Elephas maximus indicus: one gene and its partners. The protein of the gene in region 2 binds, or shares a complex with, the protein of the main gene of each other region. Links are inferred from orthologs where the notes say so. Each region holds a gene or a part of one and is shown on either strand. Other genes may lie near its edges.

Evidence for each region.
Region 1: the proteins of PIGT (region 2) and PIGS are in contact, whole or in part, in a cryo-EM structure (PDB 8IMY), measured with the Homo sapiens proteins. The link is inferred for Elephas maximus indicus from reciprocal best matches to the Homo sapiens genes PIGT and PIGS. Residues at the interface, in NP_057021.2 of Homo sapiens: Pro26, Arg27, Val63, Ser64, His65, Tyr66, Arg67, Lys71, Gln75, Lys79, Tyr80, Val133, Gly136, Lys191, Leu193, Pro194, Cys195, Ser196, Lys198, Ala199, Glu270, Pro271, Pro273, Leu274, Tyr526, Ile529, Cys530, Cys533, Val536, Ala537; in NP_149975.1 of Homo sapiens: Thr9, Glu12, Val13, Gly16, Ala19, Ala20, Phe23, Thr230, Pro238, Lys239, Tyr244, Ile247, Glu248, Val251, Gln256, Val270, Asp271, Ser272, Gln273, Ile274, Tyr276, Tyr277, Met279, Ser309, Arg310, Ser313, Ser314, Ala315, Ala316, Phe513.
Region 3: the proteins of PIGT (region 2) and PIGU are in contact, whole or in part, in a cryo-EM structure (PDB 8IMX), measured with the Homo sapiens proteins. The link is inferred for Elephas maximus indicus from reciprocal best matches to the Homo sapiens genes PIGT and PIGU. Residues at the interface, in NP_057021.2 of Homo sapiens: Tyr361, Gly362, Leu363, Gln364, Lys365, Arg394, Leu395, Tyr396, Val397, His398, Tyr416, Pro418, Ala419, Gln420, Asp421, Arg422, Gln445, Glu447, Leu450, Leu451, Lys452, Trp453, Thr454, Pro518, Thr519, Pro520, Asp521, Phe522, Ser523, Met524; in NP_536724.1 of Homo sapiens: Glu30, Lys42, Arg43, Val45, Glu46, Ser49, Leu50, Leu53, Val55, Ser59, Gly60, Ala61, Val62, Pro265, Asp266, Leu267, Pro269, Leu273, Trp275, Tyr276, Phe277, Phe278, Ala279, Glu280, Met281, Phe282, Glu283, Phe289, Phe293, Asn296.

Annotation. Positions count from the first base shown.
Region 1 is NC_064837.1:23,322,695-23,330,586, forward strand, and holds the start of PIGS (GPI transamidase component PIG-S), read left to right. Parts: upstream 1-4,888; 5' UTR 4,889-4,910; coding exon 4,911-4,944; intron 4,945-5,195; coding exon 5,196-5,335; intron 5,336-5,419; coding exon 5,420-5,531; intron 5,532-7,527; coding exon 7,528-7,617; intron 7,618-7,892. Other genes in the region: ALDOC (fructose-bisphosphate aldolase C), read left to right, coding at 847-958, 1,045-1,256, 1,368-1,422, 1,518-1,678, 1,797-1,880, 2,134-2,308, 2,422-2,621, 2,791-2,886. UniProt on the Homo sapiens protein: Component of the glycosylphosphatidylinositol-anchor (GPI-anchor) transamidase (GPI-T) complex that catalyzes the formation of the linkage between a proprotein and a GPI-anchor and participates in GPI anchored protein biosynthesis.
Region 2 is NC_064843.1:23,850,476-23,857,572, reverse strand, and holds the start of PIGT (GPI transamidase component PIG-T), read left to right. Parts: upstream 1-4,091; 5' UTR 4,092-4,133; coding exon 4,134-4,320; intron 4,321-4,866; coding exon 4,867-5,044; intron 5,045-7,097. UniProt on the Homo sapiens protein: Component of the glycosylphosphatidylinositol-anchor (GPI-anchor) transamidase (GPI-T) complex that catalyzes the formation of the linkage between a proprotein and a GPI-anchor and participates in GPI anchored protein biosynthesis.
Region 3 is NC_064843.1:34,776,415-34,783,978, forward strand, and holds the start of PIGU (phosphatidylinositol glycan anchor biosynthesis class U protein), read left to right. Parts: upstream 1-4,560; 5' UTR 4,561-4,661; coding exon 4,662-4,791; intron 4,792-7,564. UniProt on the Homo sapiens protein: Component of the glycosylphosphatidylinositol-anchor (GPI-anchor) transamidase (GPI-T) complex that catalyzes the formation of the linkage between a proprotein and a GPI-anchor and participates in GPI anchored protein biosynthesis.

The DNA of each region.
Region 1 (7,892 bases), on a different chromosome or scaffold from region 2:
CCTTTCAGCCCCAAGCCTCTGCCCCTGTCTCCCCTCTGGGTGTCTGAGTTCTGGGAAATTGAAGTGCTCCCTATTTCCCATCCCTCCCTCCACACAGGGCAAGTGCTTCTGGGCACTGGGGGTGGCCTGGTGGTGTCACTTCCCCCAGTCTTCCCATACTAACCTAGCTGACCTACTGGCCATCTTCCCTGAAACACTTGTGCAGTCCACTGGGGCCAGCCTCTGGCAATGGGGTGGTGAGTAGGCAGTAGGCATAGGAAATTTGGGGTATGGAAGAGGAGAGGTTCTGGAAGCCTATGGCTGTCCTTTGTGCCACCCCTACTCCCTACCTGCCCCCTTCGTCCCAACGTTTTCCTCCAGAAGCTGAGGGAAGGGGTGGGAGATGATGCGTAGTACTTATGCCTCCTTCTGAAGCCTTGGAAGTGAGTGCAGTTTCCTTAGGGGCCCTACTGAGGATGAGAAAGGAGAAGTTAGAAAGGCCAGGGTTTATGCCTATCTCAGGGAAGAACTGAATTCAGAGGGAGAAGGGTTGGCATCCTTGACTGGGCAGCAGTTTCATAAGACCTGTAGTTTTAGGGCTGCTCGCTTCCCCTCCCCCCTGAATCTTTTGCTGGGGCTGGGAAGGGTGCCCACCAGGGAAAAAAGGAGGTGTGAGAACTAGGGCTCTGAGCCCGCTAGCTGTCAGAGTGGTGCCACTTTGATGCCTGGGACCCATGCCAAGGACTGCTGCCATGTTCCCAGCCCCATGCTGGGGGTGGGGGGTGGGGGCAAGCCATTTGGCCCATCTGGCCAGGAGAGGAAGTAGAGGAGGTATGGGTCTTGTCTCCATTCCAGAGAGCTGTCACCATGCCCAACTCGTACCCAGCACTTTCTCCTGAGCAGAAGAAGGAGTTGTCTGACATTGCCCTCCGGATTGTGGCTCCAGGCAAAGGCATTCTGGCTGCAGATGAGTCTGTAGGTAGGTGGAGGCCTGTGGCTAGGTGGGGTAAAGGTGTTCAGAGAGCCCTGGGGATGGCCTTGCTGCCCCTCCTTGTTTGTCTCCAGGTAGCATGGCCAAACGGCTGAGCCAAATTGGGGTAGAGAACACAGAGGAGAACCGCCGGCTGTACCGCCAGGTCCTGTTTAGTGCCGATGACCGAGTGAAGAAGTGCATTGGAGGTGTCATCTTCTTCCATGAGACACTCTACCAGAAAGATGATAACGGCATCCCCTTTGTCCGTACAATCCAGGATAAGGGCATCGTTGTGGGCATCAAGGTGCAGCCACTGGCCCTGGGTAGGGGTTGGATGCGGAAATAGGTATCTGTGGGAGGGTCGGCAAGGGGGATCCTGCTTGGGTTCAGCTCTCTGCATGTGTATCCCCTACAGGTTGACAAGGGTGTGGTGCCTCTAGCTGGGACTGATGGAGAAACCACCACTCAAGGTACAGGGTGGGTGGGCTTCAGGACCACAGGGGTGCTGGAAGGTTGATGCAAGCAAAAGAGGGGCAGAGTGATGAGGCTGGCATTGTGTCTACAGGGCTGGATGGGCTCTCAGAACGCTGTGCCCAGTACAAGAAGGATGGCGCCGACTTCGCCAAGTGGCGCTGTGTACTGAAAATCACTGAGCGCACGCCCTCAGCACTTGCCATTCTGGAGAATGCCAACGTGCTGGCCCGCTATGCCAGCATCTGCCAGCAGGTGTGTGTGTGTGGGGGGGTGATTAGATGGGTGTCCTGTGCCTGGTGGGGAGAAGGTTATAGGGCTTTCTCCCGTCCTACCTACTGCCCCTCCCAAGCCACTCTGCTCTTACCTGCAGAATGGTATTGTGCCTATTGTGGAACCTGAAATCCTGCCTGATGGAGACCATGACCTCAAACGTTGCCAGTATGTTACAGAGAAGGTGAGTCCTCACCTGGGCACATACCACAGGGACAGCTTGACAGGGCAGCCTGTTCCCCATAGTTCCTGGCTCAGATCCAGGTACACTTTTCCAAAGATTCTTTTTACTTGATTCCAGAACAGGCCTGTGGGTCTGAGCCTGTACTGAGCCCTCACAATCTATGCCCACCCCTCCACTCCCTGGATAAGGACTATAGAGCAGTAAGTGGACCCGTAAGGGACCCAGAACCTTAGAAATCCCTTCTGATCCCCAGGTCCTGGCTGCTGTGTACAAAGCCCTGAGTGACCATCATGTTTACCTGGAGGGGACCCTACTGAAACCCAACATGGTGACCCCTGGCCATGCCTGTCCCATCAAGTATACCCCAGAGGAGATCGCCATGGCGACCGTCACTGCCTTGCGTCGCACTGTGCCCCCAGCTGTCCCAGGTATCACCCTGCTTCTATCCCTAAGGCCCATCTTCAGGTTCTTGTGGCCTTCAAGGGTCTCTTGCCCTGGAAAAATAGGGAATGACCAGTTTGTCTTCTCTCCTCCACCCTAGGTGTGACCTTCTTGTCTGGGGGTCAGAGTGAAGAGGAGGCATCGCTCAACCTCAATGCCATCAACCGTTGCCCCCTTCCCCGACCCTGGGCCCTCACCTTCTCCTATGGGCGTGCCCTGCAGGCCTCTGCACTCAATGCCTGGCGAGGGCAGCAGGACAATGCTGGGGCTGCCACTGAGGAATTCATCAAGCGGGCTGAGGTTGGGAGCTAGAGGTGGTGATAAGGGGGTGGCAGTGGTGGCGTGTAGCCTAGCAGGGGGCAGCACCCATAGACTACAGCCTGGGAAGGTTTGGCACCTGTGAGCTGGCTCAGCCTGAGTCCAGCTGATCTCCCTTACATACCTCCCCTCTCTCTCTCCAATCTTACAGGTGAATGGGCTTGCAGCTCAGGGCAAGTATGAAGGTAGCGGAGAAGATGGAGGAGCCGCAGCACAGTCCCTCTACATTGCCAACCATGCCTACTGAGCACCCATTCCACACCACAGTCCTTGACCTGGCCACATGCACCCAATTTTGCCTGTAGTTATGGCCCGGGCCAAGTAGCCATGCAGAGCAGAGGGCCTCCATTCAGTGCCAAGTTCTCCATTTTATCTTCTTCCCTCCCCTCTCCCATGTTGCACCTGGGACCATAGGATGGGAAGCCCCTGATGACTGAGGGCAGGAGGACTTGCTAGAAGTCAGAGCGGGATGCCTGGGTCTTCTGTGTGCCTCTGTAACCCCCTACAATTTCCCCACGATGGGGTAGCTTCTCCTTGGGCTCTCCTTCTTGCCTCTCCTCTTCTGGGACCAGAGGGTAGGACACTAGCCCTGATTCATGCTGAATACATACCACATAGCAAATAAATGGTAGCAAACATGCTACTCTGTCTGTCTGTTTTCCGCGTCAAATTGCCACCTCCCAGTTGCTGACCTTTGCTGATTCTGTCTCTGGGCCCTCTGATGGTGGTGGTAGACAGGATCAGTTTTGAGTTGGAGGGCTTCAGGTTTATGGGGGAGGGGCACACCCATTCATTATCACCAGCTTAGTCTCTTGCCTGCTGTTACCTAAGGCTGGAGTGGGGCAGTGTGAAGGGTTGCAAGTCTTCCGAGGACTGCCACATCAGGGGCACTAGGCTGCAGCTGCAGAAGGATGGAGTGAGGCAAGACCAGAGCAACTCCTGAAGGCAGATTGTGTGCAAGGCCCCAAACAAGGAGGCAGCAGGACAAGCTGGGAGAAGAGGGGGTGGAAGTCTCTTATATCTCATCTGTGTTGAGCCCTGCTGGGGCCTGAAACATTCAGCTAGGGGAAGCCGCAACAGAATCACCTGGGCTTCTGGGGGCTGCTACGCTGGGCAGGGTACCTAGGAAATTGCGAAGTGCTATAGCCCACTCCCATTTGGGGAAAAGGCACAGAGGGGGACAATTTGGGGTTCTGAGCAAGGGCAGACTTGGTAGGGCCTCGTGCTGAACTTTGACCAGTTGGCTGGAGTGTGAGGCAGGCTGAGCACCTGAATCTGCATGAGCAGACTAGTAAGATAAAGAGATGTGGGAACATGCTGGGTGTGTTGTGTGAACTGAGAGCTACGCTTCACCCAGTTAATTATTGCAAAGTGGGAATGTAGGCCTGACCTTATAACAAAAATAGCTAACAGAGATAGCACTTTTTACGTGCTCTTGCCAGGCCCGGTTCTAGTCACTCTACGTATACTAACTCGTTTAATACAACAATCCTGTAAAGTAAGTACTATTGTCCCTATTTTAACATGAGGGAACAGTTACAGCAGTTAATTAACTCACTCAAGATTACTCAGGTATTAAGTGGTGAAGCTAGGATTTGAACCCAAGTGATCAGGATTCAAAGTCTGTGTTCTTATGAATTTTCAAGATTTTTAAGTGTCTGAAGTTTTACAAGTTGAAAATGAATACAAGGTGAATTAAAACACTGCACTGAGTGAGCCAATTTTGCTAAGAGTTAGTAGCTTGCCACCTCCGTGTTTGAGGGTGAGGATAGGGCTCCCAGAAGAGGCAGCGCTATGAAGGGGATGATAAACAGTGATGGTAGTAGTTGACATTTGAGTGCCTTGAGGGTCTTTACACGAATGCTCTCACCATTTAACACGAGAAAACAGGCTCAGAGTTGCGAAGTAATTTGCTCCTTGGTCGCCTAGCTAGTATTTAATGACTGCAGAATTTACGTTCTTAATCCCTGGGGGCTCGGAATGTGTTCTACAAGAAAAAAAATTTTTTTTTTGAAAGCTGGAGCTTAATCAGGTGCCCCCAGCAACGCCGTCACTCGCCCCTCCTTGTCCTTGTACCCTCCTTTCGAATTCCCAGCGAGGCTCCATGCAGACCCCGCCCACGCCGCCGGCTTTCTCCCGCCTGGCAGTTTGGAGTGCCACTCTCTAGCGGAGCCGTCGTTGCCGTGGTCCCGCCCCCTCCCTACGGGGCTTCCGATTGGAGGAGGCACGTGCAGCTCCGCCCCTCGGCGGCTTGAGCAGCCGGAAGCGAGCATGGCGGCCGCAGGGGCCGCCGCCACAGATATAGGTGCGGTGGGACTCGCGTGGTGTTTCTTGGACGCCCAGGGAGGAATGCGGGGGTGGGGATGGTGACCCCGCAGACATGGGGCAGGGGTCTCAGACAGGGGTCCCTTCAGAGTTGAGGCCCCTCGGGCGGACATCCCTACTGACGCGGGCCGAGGGCCTCTGGGCCCCGGTTGCCCGGCCTCCTCCCCGTTGGGGCTGGGCCTGGCCTCCGAGCTCGACCCCTACGCCTTAGTCGGTCCCCCGTGTCCCTAGAGGTGGTCCGGGGCAAGCGCGCCGCTCTCTTCTTCGCTGCTGTGGCCATCGTGTTGGGGCTGCCACTCTGGTGGAAGACCACGGAGACCTACCGCGCCTCATTGCCCTACTCCCAGATCAATGGACTGAATGCCCTGCAGGTGAGACTCCTTAGGGGAGGACTGGGGGACAGCCCACTGTCAAGGTGGAGACTCAGCGGACGTCCCTGACGCCCCTTCCCGCAGCTGCGGCTCATGGTGCCTGTCACTGTCGTGTTTGCCCGGGAGTCAGTGCCCGTGGATGACCTGGAGAAGCTGCCCTTCACCGTTGTGCATGAGAGAGAGATCCCGCTGAAATGTGAGTTCTGGGGGGCCAGGACTGCCCTTCCGGCCTGAGCTCAGACCAGAGGTGGGTTGGGGAAGGAACCTGGGTGTCCCATAAAGGTAGTTAGAAACTTACTGGTAAAAGCTCTGTCTGAAGGAAGAGTATGTTTGGTTAGAAGAACACTAAATTCACTGTCTGTCATTAAGGCGGAGATTTTATTCATAAAATAGTTCTGGTGCCTTATCAGAAGCAGTTGATGCTCATCAGAGAATAGGGGAGGAAGGGGGATATAGTGGAAAGAACATAGATTTTGAAATTAAATTGGGTTTGAATACAGGTCCTTTTCAGTTTAACGTTAAACACTTCACAGAATATTAGGTGCTTTTTCTTAGGTACCAGGAATTCAGGGAAAAATTAAGTAGATAATTGTTTCAAGAAGTTCATAGGTAGGGGAGAAGGACACTTAGCTAAAGAAATTACAGAAGCATACAAGAACCAGCGATAGCATTTAAGAAACAGATTTAACTGGGAGGAAAGAAAGGCGAGAAGACTGAGAGATGTAACTTTTAAGCCAGCTATTTAAAGGATGAGTAGGAATACAGGTGAGATCCCTGGTAGTGTGCGCAGTGATTGAAGCACTCAGCTGCTAACTCAGCTTGAACCAACCAGCCACCAGCTGAGGGAGAAAGATAACGGTAGTCTTCTTTTGTAAAGATTACAGCCTTGGAAACCTTGTGGGGCAGCTCTGCTCTGTCCTATAGGTTCACCATGAGTTGGAATCCACTTGATGGCAATGGGTTTGGTTTTTGGTTTTGTTCACTTTTGATGATGCAAAAATTATTTGATGAGTTCAGGTATTGTCAGCCTGATCTCTATATTTTAATGTTCCCCATCAACCTTTCATCCAATCCATTGATCTGATCCATTGATCCTGAAATCTCTTTCATTAGTGGTTGCAAAAATGATAATTTTCTAATTCTGTCTTCCACTTATATGGCTTGGATTTCTTCTATAAGGAAGGAAGAACTTTCCCATTAAATATTTAGTTCAGCTTGTCAAGTTCCAGGAAAAAAAAATCCCTTTGGAATCACCTTACATGTATAGATTAACTTGGGGAGAATTGACATCCTTACAATATTTAGTCGTTCTCTGCAAGAGACTTGTATGCTTTTTCCATCTTACCGGGGTCTTTTTTTATGTTCTTCAGTAAACCCGGTGCCGTCGAGTCAATTCTGACTTCAGTAAAGTTCTCGCATTTTCTTATTATGATTTTGTACTTTTATTCTTGGGCACTTTTATAATTTTTATTGTTGCTACGATTGGGATTTTTAAAAATTACTATTTTTCTAATTGAATATTTATCAGAAGGTTATTGATTTGTGTGTATTCTCGTATCTGGTCATCTTACTGAACTGTTGCTACTAGTTCTAATAGCTTTTCAGATGGTTACTTCTTAATTTTCCAAGAAAATATACCGTCTTCAAAAATGGCCATTTTATCTTTTTCTTTCAAGTATTTGTAAGTCTTTTTCTTCACTTATTATGTTGGTTTGGATCTTTAGAAAGAACAGTATCAAATAATAGAAAGTAATAATAGAGGCGATAGCAGGCATCCTTGTTTTTTGTTCTGTTTTTTACCGACTTTAACGGAACCGTATTTAGTATTTTGTCATTCAGTGTGCACCTTTGTTTTTATCAGGTATGTTTATTGAACTTCCTTGGCGTTTTGGGGCAGGGGTGGGGCAGCACTTGAAGCCATTACTGTAATGATTATAGTAGTAGATCTCACAGTTGGAGGATACTACAGCGTGTACACAGGCAGAGAGGCGGGAGCTGGGGCAGATGGAAGAAGTGGAGTGCCGTGTGTTTGATACCATCCATGCAGAAATCATTAGAGTTGGCTGGAGCGTCTTGATCTTTCTCTGCACTCATCTTGCTGTTCTCACACTGGGCAGTGTTAGGACTGCGGGCGATGGGCAGAGAGATCTGAGACTTGCCCTTCCCATCACGCTTCTTCCTCTCCCTCCCAGACAAAATGAAAATCAAATGCCGTTTCCAGAAGGCTTACCGGAGGGCTCTAGACCACGAGGAGGAGGCCCTATCGTTGAGCAGTGTGCAAGGTATGGGGAGGGCATCTTTGTAACATGAATCCCTTTTCATGTGATCTCTTGAGTGTGGTTTTCCTTTTTTTTTTTTTTGAGTGTGTAATTTTCATACCTTGGCTTACCTCCAGTGTGTCTCTGGGAAAGCTGGGAATGAGACACTTTGTGTTTCAGCTTGGGTCACTGAGGGCCAGAGAGGTCAAGTGGTTTGGTCAGCCGGGTGTGAGTGGGAGCTAGAGGGGTGGCCTAGATACTCCGTAGAGGGCCGGTGGAGATGGGATGGTGTTTTTCCT
Region 2 (7,097 bases):
AGGACAGGCTCCATCCAGACAAACAAATGATAGTAATCCTTGCAAGAGAAATGGTGGCCCAGAAGACAGTGGTAATTGGGTCAAGGCAGGGTACAGATAAATGACATTATTCATTCAATAAATATTAAATATCATTGTCTAATGTGCAAGACACTGAGCATGGCCTTGGAGGGGTGCAGTGGTGAGCAAAAAAAAGGACACAGTCCCTGCTTTTGCGGAGTTCACATACAGCCTAGTGGGGGCCCAAATGTAAAACTGCAACTATGTGGAATGCTAAGAAGGAGTTAATAGCTTTCTCAGAGAGGCTACAAGATTTTTCGCTTGAGGAAGTGGCATTTGAGCTGAGATCTGAATGTCGAGTAGGAATAAATTAAGGGAAGAATGGCTGGAAGGACTTCTTGTGGAGTACTGATTACAGGGGATCCCAGTGGATACCAGGCAGCCAGCAGATGATTGCAGCTGTCTTTTTTTTTTTAGGTACGAGGTAACTGGCTAGGATGCTGGGGTGGCGGGGAGAGTTTGTGGAAAAAAGTAGACAGAATAGAGAGATGTTTAGGAGGCAAATTTGTAAAGTCTTGATGGTTGTGCAAGAGGAAGGGATCAAGTGTACCACCATTGTTGCTGCCTGGTGCAACCAGATGATTCAAGAGCTCTTCACCCAGATGGAGAACTAGGAGAGAACCAGGTTTGGGGAGGTAATATATTTAGTTTGGGCCATGGTGAGTTATAGATGCCTTTGAGACATCCAAGAGGACATGTCGAGTAGGCACTTGGATCCATGGGTGTGGGACTAAGATGAGAAAGGGCTGGAAGAAAAAACAGATGAGTCATCAGTATATAGGTGGTAACTGATGCCATGGGTGTGAATGACCTTGCCCAGGGAGAGAGGGTTCAATGAAATTATAAGGGGCTCTAAGACCCAGCTTTCATGAACATCAACTCATTTCTTACATCAGGAAAAAAAAACCACCTCCCTTTATACATCAAACACCAGCCATGGGATCAGTGACCTCAGCCTAAATCCCAAAGCTCTTGGTGCTACCCAGGCTGAGTGACAGGGCCGCATTCTTCCCATAATTCCATCCTGCTTCCACCCCTGCAGGGGGCCGTTGTGACTGCTGCTAAGTGCTCTTCCTAGTCCTAGTGAGAAACTTGTGGGAGCTCCAGGGAGGTGGATGCGTCCATTGGCAGAGCTCACAGACTTTCCCTGTATCCAGGAAGTTTGTGAATGCCTTTTGTTCCTAATCCTCTGTGTCTAGGTTGAGATCATCCACCAAGCTGGGCCAGGGTCCAGTCTCATGTTAACGTTTGGGGATTTTCTGAGTTCCTTTGGCTTTGCTGTACACAGAGGACATGGTCTCTGTCCTCTTGTGCCTTCTCCACTCCCCTCCTTTGGAGAAGAAAGGCATTCCTGCCTGAGTGTGGCTGAACCTTCTCTTGGGGTGCAGCCCCCTATAGCTCTGCTCTGCAGGCTTCTCAGCTCTCAGGCTCACCCCACTTCTCTCTGGAGTGAATGATAGGAAGTTGGAGTAGCTTGGTGGTTGTCATCAACATGTTAATAAATCTCTTAGTACCCCAGGCACATGGTGCTAAGATTTGGGGGAATAGGGATATACAGCCCTCTTGAGAGGTAGAATTGTTTGTGAGCCTATGGGGAGTCTTCAGTTCAGCTGCCATGAGAAGTCTAGCGTTAGGTCAGACCCCAGGACTACTTCCTGGTTGGGACAATGACTTCCCCCTGACAAACCACAGGGGCTTGGCTGGCCGTCAGAGCCACCATCTTCAGCTGACTGGTTTTTGAGGCCACACAGTGTCCTTGGAGATGGAAAGATGGTTTGGAGCCAACTCCTAGGAAAGGAGCCCAGCTTTCAGCCTCTATAAGCATGGCATGGTGGGGGCATCGTCAGACCTTTGTCTGACTTCTCAAGGGGGAGGAGAGAATCAAGATGAACATTAGCCCAAGGCTGATTCCTATGAGATGGAGCCCTGGTGGTGCAGTGGTTAAGGTGCTCAACTGCTAACAAAAGGTTGGCGGTTTGAAACCATCAGCCAGTCCCAGGAGAGAGATGTGGCAGTCTGTTTCTGTAGGGACTTACAGCCTTGGAAACCCTGTGGGGTCACAGTGAATTGAAACTGACTTGACAGTGGGTTTTTTTTGTAGGGGGCGGGGAATGTTAAACATACCTCCAGCCTTTTTACCAATTCAGACACCAGCTGTCCCTCCCACCACACTCTACTTCTCTGCTGGGTTCTGGGGGTGGGGGGTGGGGGCGGTGAACAGACACTTCACCAAAGAAAATATACGAATGGTGAATAAGCATACGAAAAGACACTCAACATCACTAGGCACCAGGGAAATGCAAATTAAAACCACAATAGGATAAACACCACATACACACCAAATGGCTAAAATTGTTAAGGGCTGTTGAGTCGGCTCTGACTCATAGCGACCTGACTTGTGTAACAGACAAAACGTTCCCCAGTCCTGCCTCATCACAATTGTTATGCTTGAGCCCGTTGTTGCAGCAACTGTGTCAATCCATTTAATTGAGGGCCTCCTTCTTTTTCACTGACCCTCAACCAAGCATGATGTCTTTCTCCAGCGATTGACAAAAAGACCAAAAAGTTAAAAACACCAAATATTGACATCCAAGGATGTGGAGTAACAGGAACTGTCGGTGAGCGTATAAAACGATAGAAACATTTTGGAGAAAGGTCTGGCAGTTTCTTATAAAATTAAACGTACAACTACTCTTAAGCCTAGCAGTTCTACTCCTAAATATTTACCCAAGAGAAGTGAAAAACATACGTTTACAAAGTAACTTGCACAGCAGCCGTGTTGATAATAACCAAAATCTTTAAAGTGCTAGCCTGTAAGGCAACAGAATGGATAAACAGTGGTATCCATACAATGCAGTACTGTTCAGCAGTAAGAAGAAACAAACTGTTGATACATGCAAGAACATGGATGGGTCTCTCAAATATTCTGCAAATGAAAGAAACCTTACACAAGAAGTGTACGTTACAATTTCATTTATCTTAAGTTCTAGAATATGCTAAATTAATCTATGGTAGATAAAAATCAGGACAATGGTTGCCTCTGGAAGGTGGAACAGAGAGAGGAATTGACTGGAAAGAGTCCTTAGAGAACTTTCTAGGGTTTTAGTAATGTTCTGTATCTTGACAGGGTATGCGTTATGCAGGTATGTGCATTTGTCAAAATTCAGTGAATGTACACTTCAAAGTTGCATTTCATTGTAAATTCTACATCAAAAGAAAAAATGTAAACAAATATTGAACTCTAGCTAATCGTATGCACGCTTAAGTATTTATGGGGAAATACTCATGTCTGCAATTTACTTTGAAATGCATCAGAACATAAGATGGAGTCACAGATGTACAGACGGATATGATAAAGCAAGTATAAAAAACAACAACCCCGTTGCCGCGGAGTAGTTCCCGGACTCACAGCGACCTTGGTAGACTCAAACTGCCGATCTTTTGGTTAGCAGTCAAATGCTTAACCACTGCAGGACCAGGGCTCCCACAGCGAGCAGAGTAAAACGTTTAGTGGTGGAATCTACGTGGTGGGCAACAGGTGTTCACTGTTCTTTCAACTTTGAAAATATTCATAATAAAAGGGCAGTGATTTGGGGGATTTTGCAGGAAAGCTCTGCCACTGGAGGAGCTGGATGGGCTTCCAAAACAAACAATCCGCTGCTATCGAGTCTTCTGACTCACAGCGACTCTACAGGACAGAATAGAACTACCACACAGGATTTCCAAGACTTAAATCTTTACAGAAGCGCGCTGCCACATCTTTCTCTGGCTGGTGGGTGCCAACCACCGACCTCTCGGTTAACAGCCAAACGCTCAACCGCTGTGCCACTAGGGCTTACATGGACTTAGAACTGAGCAAATGGAAATACCGGAAGTAGAGGGAGGCAGAAGCCTGGCGTGTGACCTAGCAAAATTAACCTTTTTGCAGTCTTTGTTTCCCAACTGTCAAACGGGTATAGTATTGCATCCGGGTTTCCGGGACGGCACCGGAAGCTGCTTATCAACCGCTCTTCCCATTGGATGCGGGCCTTTCGTGGGGCGGGCGCCGCTGGGAGGTGGAGGCAGCCGCAGGCATGGCGGCGGCTGTGCCGCTGGCTGTCTTGGTGCTGTTGATTCTCTGGCCGGGCGGCTGGGGCCATGCAGAGCCCCCACGCGACAGCCTGCGAGAGGAGCTCGTCATTACCCCGTTGCCATCCGGGGACGTAGCCGCCACATTCCAGTTCCGCACGCGCTGGGACTCGGAGCTGCAGCGGGAAGGAGGTGAGAGGACAGGATCTGACCCGAGAAAGCTTTCCGTGGCACCTGCTGGGGGGTGAGGTGAGGCAAGATGTGGGTGCGGAGCCTGACCCCAGGGTGGGGTTCTGGCTCCTGGGCTTGGGGACTAAAGAGCTGGGTCGTTGGGGAAGGACGGGGTGGTTATTAAGAAACCCCATTGTACCGACAGCGAAACTGAGGCCTGGATAGGGACAGTGACTCCTGATTCCTAGTCCAGTGCTCTTTACACAGCTCCAGGCTGCCATTCTAAGTCTTTAGTCATCTGTTGGCAGCAATGATGCTACTGCTGCCGTTGGCGGTTTTCATTTATCCTGGATGCTGGGCACAGTTCTTAGTGCTGTAAACGACTACAAGGAAGAAATTGAGGTGTAGGGAGGTAAAGGGACTTGGCCAAGATCACATCGCTGTTAAGCAACGGTCTGGTCTGGAATCCAGATCTCGTTGACTCAGATCCTGGGATCTGCTGCTTCTTTGGGTTGACAGAGAGCCCTGCCTTTGGGATCTTTACCCACTGCTTCCCCCGCCCCCCAGTGTCTCATTACAGGCTCTTCCCCAAAGCCCTGGGGCAGCTGATCTCTAAGTATTCTCTACGGGAGCTCCACCTTTCCCTCACACAAGGCTTCTGGAGGACCCGATACTGGGGACCACCCTTCCTGCAGGCCCCATCAGGTGCAGAGCTCTGGGTCTGGTTCCAAGACACCGTCATTGAGTAAGTGCCTACCTTGGGTCCTGTTGAGCATGGCAGGGAAGATGTTGTCATCCTGCACTGCCCATAGGGGCAGTGATTCCAGCAGGCAGCGGTTCCAAGGCTGCTGTTGGAAGTCAGAAATGATATTACCACTGAGTGGTATTCTTTACTGAATACACTTCCTTCGTCTAATAACTCCCAGACCTGAGATGGCACATGTACATCCCTGCAGAGACAGAGAACAAACTGTGGCAAACCAGAGAGCTTTTAAAAAGGCACTCAAATAATAATAATAATAAATACCATGAAAGCCAAACAAAACAGAGCTGTGGACTAGAATTGTCCTATAGGCTGGCAGTTTATGATTTCTGTATTAGAGGAATGGCTTTTGTTTGGGAGAAGCATGGGTCTAGTCACTGTTGTTGTACCACAAAAACGATTCCCCAGTGGCTGCTGTGACTCTTCTACTTAGAATAGACCCTCTGTAAGCCAGACAGGGTTTTGAACTCATGTCTCCTGGGGACAGGCAGGTAACATCAATGAATAAAGATGTAAACATTTTTATAGAGACACAAAACCAAAAAACCAAACCCTCTGCATCGAGTCGATTCCAACTCATAGCGACCAGGGATGAGAAATATGTCTCATTTCTCTTTTAATTCTGGTGTAAGAAATCAGCAGCACAAGTATGATAAACACTTGTAGGGCAGTAATAAGGAATGGTGGGGACTGTGGCAGGCTAGAGGGCTCATACCAATCTAGAGGACAGCTGCTGTTAAGTTCCCATGGATTCTTGCCATGTGGGAACAGAGGCTCAGTGTCATCAGATACTCTCATTTTTCGAGAGAGACCAGAAATCTGGATTTTTGTGTGAAAATTGGTGGATTTACATATCAACAAGTAATTTAGAAATTCAAGAAATGCTATATGAGGCAGGATAGAGCTTTCAGGCTTAGTGTTTGCTTTCTTTGTTTGGGGCTTATGGATTGGAGCAATTGAAGAGCTAGGAGCAGTAGATTATCAAAAAGTCCCAGGACAGCACTAAGAGGATGCCAGACGAGGAGCAAGCAGTGACCCTCAAGCTTGCCATGGCTTCCTCTCTTGCCTCAGCTCTGCTTTCCTGCCTTTTTTTTCTCTCTGCTTTGCTGTTTCTGTCTTTTCTCAGCCCGTAATTGCCTATAATGTAGAGCTGATGTTCAGAATTTTAGTATTTATTAAATTTTATACCTTCAGTTAATATGGGTGCCCGGGTGGCACAGTAGTTAAGCATTTGTCTGCTACCCAGAAGGTCAGCAATTCGAGTTCACCAGCCACTCTTTAGAAACTCTATATGGCAGTTCTCTGTCCAGTAGCATCACTATGAGTTGGAATTGACTTGACAGCAGTGGGTTTGGTTTTTTGGTTATTGTTAATATGAGTTCCCTGGGTGGCAAGAAGGGTTTGAGCTCGTCTACCAATCGAAAGATTGTTGGTTCAGACCCACCCAACGGCAGCACGGAAGAAAGGCTTGGCAATCTTCCTTACAGGTTACAGCCAAGAAAACCCTATGGAGCTCAGTTCTACCCTGTAACACATGGGGTCACCATGAGTTGTAATTGACTCAACGGGAACAGATATTATTAATATAGAAAACCAATCTGTTTTAATGTTTTTCTAGGAAAATAACCTAATTTAATTTGATATTTTTGTGGGGTCCTAGAATGGTTGTTTTCTCTGGTCCAGTGAGCCTTGTGGATATAAGTAGAAACAGAACATATGTTCAGGCCCAGGGTTTTCATAGAGCAGAGTGTGTCGTTTTGCGAGGCTGAGCAAATCTCAGGGTGGATCAGCGAGCTGTCTGCTCAGCCCTCTGAGGCGTGAGGCACTTTGCATGGTGTTGTGGGAGATACATGGATGACCCAGACTTGTTCCTTGTCTTCAAGTTGCTCACGGCCTAGTTGGGGAGAAAAGGTGCTTAGGACCAGATGCCTACCACCTAGCCATCTCCAAGAGGGGCCTGGTGAGAGGCTGGGGTAGTCAGAACCACGGCAACATAGAGGAGGCTGTGGTTGAGGGGGGCAGGAAAGGCCCTCTG
Region 3 (7,564 bases), about 11 Mb from region 2:
CTTTTATAAGGATCAGCACAAAGGTGGTTCCTATGAGGTGGAGGTTAAAGGTGTCCCAAATGTCCTACTTTTCCAAGCCACTGTACCACTCCATCATCTCTAACATCTACTGCTCCCACTCCCCTCAGTACTCTCCCTCCTGTCTTTGGGTTCCCTAATTCGCTGCAAAGTCTCACAGAACTCACAAATCATATAAAGGAAATGGCTCACACATTTGTGGAGGCTGGCAAGTTCCAAATTCATGGGTCAGGCGTAGGGTTCTTTCAGGCCCTCAGTTTCTGCCCAAAGGCATTCAGCTTCCTCGCTCCATGAGCTGGGAAGCCCACTGCGCTGTCTTCTGTGGGTCTCTCCTGCCTTGGTGATTGTGGGCACTTCTCTTTCCTCTCAGGTGGTTCATTTCAAGCCCAATGGGATGGCAAAACTGATCAATCCCCTTGGTGGGCTGCTATTACTCTATTACATAGTCCCGCCCAATCACCTGAGTGGGAGTTACAAGACCATGGTTAGAAAGGCCACACAAAAAAGCAATCCGTTACACTACATGCCCATTTTTAAAGTGGGTTGTCTTTTTGAGTTGTACAAGTTCTTTATAAATTCTTGATGAAAAGTCCCTAGTTAGATACATGATTTGCAGATATTTTCTCCCATTCTGTGGACTCTTTTCATTTTCTTAATGGTGTCTTTTGATGCACAAAAGTTTTTAATTTTGATGGAGTCCAATGCATTGATGTCTTCTTTTGTTGCTTATGCTTTTGGTGTTATAGCTAAGAAAATATTGCCTAACCCAATATCATGAAGACTTACTCCAATGTTTCTTATTTTTAAGTTGTTATTTTTAGCTCTATCATCCATACAAACTAATGTTTGAGAACCACTGGTTTGGGTCACAGCTTCTACCCCCACTGGCTAATTACTATTTTTTTTTTTTCCAATGACAATCCTTATCCTAAGAAGAACTTTCAAGTCATCTGTCAGGATGATTTTAATAATAATATGACAGCTAACTGACATACATTATTGAGCACTTGGTATGTGCCAAGCATTTCGCATTGCATTATCTTGTTCAATCTTCACTATCATACTAGTGTTGCAATCACCTCCACTTATCAGGCAAGGAATCTGAGGCTCAGAGAGGTAAATAACTTGTTAAAGGTGAAAGCAAAGAACTGGCAGAGATCAGATTTGAACAGCTTTGTCTGGCTCCAGAGGCAGTGTTCTTAGCCTCTCCTCCCTACACTAGCTCTACAATGATGTAATATACATATTTCCTCCTTTTACATAAAAAGAGATACCAACACCTACATCTTTAGGAAAGGTTGAACAGACTAAATGAACTCATATGTATTAAAAGTACAGCACAAATCAAAACCGCAATGAGATATCATCTCACCCCGATTAGAATGGTAATGATCAAAATAACAAAAAACAATAGATGTTGATGAGGTTGTGGAGAAACTGGAACCCTCCTCCATTGCTGGTGGAAATATAAAATGGTACAGCCATTGTGGAAAACGGTTTGATGGTTCCTCAAAAAGCTGAACATGGAACTACCACATGGCCCAACAATTCCAATCCTAGATATATACCCAGTAGTGAAGGCAGTAACACAAACAGAAACCTGTGCTCATTCCAATGTCCACTGCAGCACGCTTTTCACAATAACCAAAATATGGAAACAACTGAAATGTCCATCAACAGATGAATGGATAAACAAAATCTGGTATATATGTACTTACAATGGATTATTATTCAGCCATAAAGAGAAATAAAGTCCGGATGCACGCCACAACATGGATGAACCTTGAAAACATTTTGCTGAGTGAAAATAAGTTGCAAAAGGACAAATACTATATGATCTCACTTATATGAAATAAGCAAATATATAGAAACCAAAAATTAATAGTGGTTAACAGGTGTGGGAAGGAAGGGAAAAGGAGTTTTTGCTAAGGGGGCAGTGAGTTTATGCTAATGGTGGTAAAATAATTTGGAAAAGGATAGCGAGAATGGTTGCACAACTTGAAGAATATAATCAACGTCACTGAATTGAACATGTAAAAACTGTTGGTGTATTTTTTTCTTTTTTTTATTTATTGAACTTTAGATGAAGGTTTACAGAACTAGTTTCTCATCAGTTAGTACACATGTTGTTGTATGACATTGGTTAACAACCCCACGACATGTCAACACTCTCTTCTCAACCCTTGGTTTCCTATTACTAGCTTTCCTGTTCCCTCCTGCCTTCCAGTCCCTGCCCCAGGGTTGGTGAACCCCTTTAGTCTTGTTTTGTTTCATGGGCCTGTTGAATCTTTGGCTGAAGGATGAACCTCAAGAGTGGCCTCATTACTGAGCTGAAAGGGTGTCCAGGGGACACACTCTCAGGGTTTCTCCAGTATCTGTCAGGCCAGCAAGTCTGGTCTTCCTTTTTGAGTTAGAATTTTGTTCTACATTTTTCTCCAGGAACCTCTACTGTGATCCCTGTCAGAGCAGTCAGTGCTGGTAGCCAGGCACTATCTTGTTGTACTGGACTCAGTCTGGTGGAGGCCATGGTAGATGGTCCATTAGTCCTTTGCACTAATCTTTCCCTCTTGTCTTCAGTTTTCTTCATTCTTCCTTGCTCCCGAAGGGATGAGACCAGTGGAGTATCCTAGGTGGCCGCTCATAGGCTTTTAAGACCACAGATGCTACTCAGGATTGGTGTATGTTTTGCTATGTATATTTTCATCACAATTAAAAAAAAAAGTATGGCACAGTGCTTTGCACTCAGTGGACGAGAATACCTCTCTCTATTCCTTCTTAATTTTCTCCTTACCCTCTCCTAGGTGATCTACTCCTCCCAATGGTTCAGAAAGCTATCAGCCTGGGGCTGATTTTTGCACTCCCCTAGCATCCTGCTCCCTTTTTTCCTTCTCCCATCAGGGTATGTGATATTATTTTTACTTGTGTTATTCTTTTTGACTGTCTTCTACTATTACTCTTCTCCTCTACTACTCTCCAAGTTCTACAAAGGCAGAAGGGGGGCCATGGTGGTGGTGCAATATTATCACTGCAATATTCCCTAATACCCAGTATAGCCTGCACATACAGTGATCTTTTAAAAATGTACATTTGGAGAGTTATTGCTTAAAGGGTGCTGAATTTCTGTTAAGGGTGATGAAAAAAATCATCAACAGATAGTAGTGACGGTTGCTCAACACGGTGAACATACTGTCACTGAACTGTACGTGTAAAAATGGTCGAAATGGCAAATGCTTTGTAAAATATATTTTACTACAACAAAATAATTTAAAAAAATGTACATCTGATTACATCACTTTCTGGTTTAAAATTCTTCAATGGCTCAATGGGTTGCACTTTGATAAAAACCAAATTCCCAATCAAAGCCAACAGGTACCTGCCTCACCACCCACACATTCTACCACTCTGTTCCCTGGCCACTCCCACTGGGGCCATACTTTTTCATTTCTGATCCTCAAGCACACCTTGCTGTTTCCTGCCTCAGGACCTATTTCCTCCTCCTGGAAACTCTGATTAGTTTTTAATCCTTCAGGTCTCAGCTCAAATGCCACCTCTTTCCAGAGCCTTCCCTGATCACTTCCAGGAACTGTTACCATTGCTCTTTGCCAACACTTATTTTTAATTACGCACCAGTTTTATTTTCTTTAGAGAGCTCAAATTTCCTTGTACCTTTATTTAATACTAATATAGAACATGTGAGCACTTACCACAAGCAGTTGCCATACATTAACTAGTGAGGTGGCATGCTGTTTAATGCTTATCAACTGGTTCTCAAAACCAAAATGCCCTGATTTGTAGTTTGTTGATTTATATAAACACTGGCACCGGGGCGAATTACAAGCTACCAACCGGAGGTAACCGAACTCCCATTTGAGAAGAGGACAGCGGCATACCATTATATAGTATTTCTGCCATAGATTTAGCGGTTATAACCTCAAGAGTACAGATAAAACTATAAAACAGGTAAAATAATGAGGAAGTAACGAGTTTTTAGTATTTTTGCCTTTGTTTTTAATTGAATTAACTGTAAACTTACATTCTTTAATTTTTAACAATGTGTTTAACCGCTTAGCAAAATCTCTAAACATTTCTCAATCGTCTAAGGCGAGCCTGTACCAGCCAACTCCAGTGCATTTTCCAGACCTGACGTACAGAAAGTTAAGCAACTTGTTCAAGGTCAGAAAGCTAGTAAGTCTGTCTACTACTCCAAAATGTATCCTCAGAACCCAATATAGTGCCTAGCATAAAGCTGGCGTTCAATAAACACCTGTAGAATAACTAAATGAATCAATATTTAATACTCTTTAAAAAATATACACTTAAGAATGAACTAGCTTTTAAACTCGCTCATAAGCCCAGGAAGAAAACTGCTTTCAACACAGCTCCACCTGCCGCGGTTTTGCGCTTCACCTGTTCTTGGGGAAGGCGTCGCCCTACGGTTTGAAACAAGCTTGAGCCGCCTCGCTTTCCGTCGTCCTGGCCAGCCTCGCCGCAAGGCCTCCTGGGGGTGTTAGTACCCAAGTTGGGTTGTACCGGCGGCAGCTGCGGCGCGCGCGGGATCGCAGAACTACAGGCAGTGGCGCGCAGGCCACGGGGCTCTTCCGCCTGGCCTTTCCCTCCCCGCCTGCGCGCCCGCCCCAGCTATCATGGCGGCTCCCTTGGCCCTGGTGCTGGTGGTGGCTGTGACCGTGCGGGCGGCCTTGTTCCGCTGCAGCTTGGCCGAGTTCATTTCCGAGCGGGTGGAGGTGGTGTCTCCACTGAGCTCTTGGAAAAGAGGTGAGGCCACTGGCTCGGGTAGGGTGCCAGGTCCCGCCTGCGCTGTCCCGGCTTCCGTGAATGGGAGGCAGGGGCAATGGCCTTGAGCGCGCTGTTCTGAAGGAACTGACCCGCTTCTGGAGTGCTTGGGGAGGGCGTGGGGCTCGGTGCTGAGGGCGGGGCCGTTGAGAGGAGAGGGCGTGGGGCGGGGTTGTGAGGCGAACGTTCTGGGGCCTGACCACCTGAGGGGGCGTGTCCCGTTGAGGGGCCAAAGCCTAGGGACGTGGTCCATGGAAGGTTTCGGATTAGAGGCGGTGGTCCTGGGTGGAGTGGGATTTGGAGAGGTGATTGGGATTTAGTGCAGGATGGCAGGCAGTCCTACCCTGGAATAGGGGATGTGCGTGGGGGGGGGGGGCGGGGGTGAGGGGGCCAGGCTTGCCTAAGCAAGGAGAATGTGTATGAGTGTGTGTTTACCGCTTCTCACTCTGGGTCTTGCAGTGAAATTTTTCCTACTATTCCTTCTTATTTAAATTCTTCATCAAACATTGTTTTATAGTAGCACTTACAATGAGATGCATTTTAGGCTGGAGGAGCCACAGGCTGGTGGAGGAGAAAAGACAAGCAGGTAGTTATAATCATGGAAGAGAAGTGTACTTCCTGTGTCCACCCAGTTCCTTCCTTAGCGTTTCTGACCCTGAATAAACCATTTCTTTCTTTCCCAGCTTCCTAAAGATGCTGGATTTGAGATGCCTTTTGAAGGATGTAGATTAGACAGAGGTGCAGTTCCAGGCAACAGAAGATAAACAGGATCAAAAAATGTTCAAGGACGTGAAATATCTGTTTACCTTGGGGCCAGAATTTGAAAGTTTATTTAAAAACAAAACAAGTTTTTTATTTAACTGAAGTGTAGTGTACATACAGTGCACATATAGTAAGTGTAGAGCTCAATGAATTTTTATAAGCCGAATACACCCAGATCAAGAAACAAAACATTACCAGCACTCCAGAAGTCCCCTTATGCCCTTAAAAAAAAAAGAAAAAATTAAATGCTAGAGCTTTGACGTTATCCCATAGATGTTTTAGGATACGAAATGGCATAATAAATGGGTGTTTTATGGATAATCAGAGCTAAAATTTTTAAAATAGTATGTATCAGGGACTATCAGAAACCCTGGGGGCGTAGTGGTTAAGTGCTACGGCCGCTAACCAAAATGTCAGCCGTTTGAATCCACCACGCGCTCCCGGAAACTCTGTGGGGCAATTCTCCTCTGTCCTACAGTGTCAGTATGAGTCGGAATCGCCTCTACGGCAATGGTTTTATGGGTAAGCCTTTTACATGCCTTTTCTCATTTAATCTGCACAGTAATTCTGTGAGATAGATGCTGTTATTTTTTCCATTTTACAGTCGAGGAAACAGATATAGTGAAGTTAAGCAACTTGCCCAGGTTTCCCAGTAATTCATGTGTGAGATACTAAGAGGTTGGACTTGATATCTTTGTATATAATTATTTATTGAAATAAAGCCACTTGGTTTCTGCTTTCTTCTGGGTACCGGGGGACCCAAGGCAGCATTAGGCCCTCCTCCCACTGGTCTCGTAGTGCGTTGTACATGCCTCTGTTAAGAGTACGGTTGTTGTTGGGTGATACGGAGTTGGTTTCAACTCATAGTGACCCCATGTGACAGAGTAGAACTGCCCCATAGGGTTTTCTTGGCTGTAATATTTATGGAAGCAGATTGCCCGGTCTCTCTCCCATAGAGCTACAGGGTGAGTTCAAACCGCCAAGTTTTTGTTTGCGCCACTTGGGGACTCCTAGATACTGTTACTAGCCTCATTTTATAGATGAGAAAATTGGGGTACAGAGAGATTAAGTCACTTGCCCCAGGTCACGTAGCTAATAATGTCTTATGTGAAGAGCTAGCAAGCTTTTCGCATGACTCTTGCACTGGAGTTTATACTATCTTGTGTAGAAGTCTGTCAGTAATAATAGTGGAACCCTTCTGCTGTATTTTGGTCTTTCTTCAGCCTCTGACCCCAAAGATTAGGAGTTAGTATGTATTTAGCTTCTTGAGTTCAGGATAGAGCTCAGGGTATTGATGCTTATTTAGAAATACACCTCCAGTGAGAGTCAGGGTCAGCAGTGGTATCGCTTTTGATACCACTACTTCAAAAAAATTTTTTTATTGTAAAGTAAATACAGAGGCAGGAAACCACACATAACAAATATATTGCTCAGTGAATTATAATAAGGTGAACATTTTTATATCTGTCATCCAAGTCAAGAATCAGAACTTTGCTACCCATTCCAGAAGCCTCTTCCACATGTCTCATCCCAGCCACAGCCCTCTTCCTCCCCTCTGGTAACCATTCTCCTGACTATTAAGTAATGATGTCTTTGCATTTAAAAAGACGTTTTATCACCCAAATGAGCAACCCTAAACACTATAGTTTAGTCTTCCCCTTATAAAAATGTTTTTATATGTCTTTTATAGCTCTTAATCTCTGAGGGTTTCTGGCAATCCCTTTCTTTGCTTTAATATTTTTCTGTTGTAGAACTAAGACTATTTGACCTGTAGAGTTCTTTTCCTGACTGTTTGTTCTTGGTATAGTTCAATAAGTTCCTCTGTCTTCTGTATTGCCTGCACATTGGTAGCTTTTTGTTTGTTTTTAACTTTATTTGAAATTTTAGACTTACAGAAGAGTTGTGAAGACAGTGCAGAGAGATTCCATATACCCTTCATTCAGCCTCCCTTATTGTTAACATCTTATATAACTACAGGCGTGTTGTTAGGTGC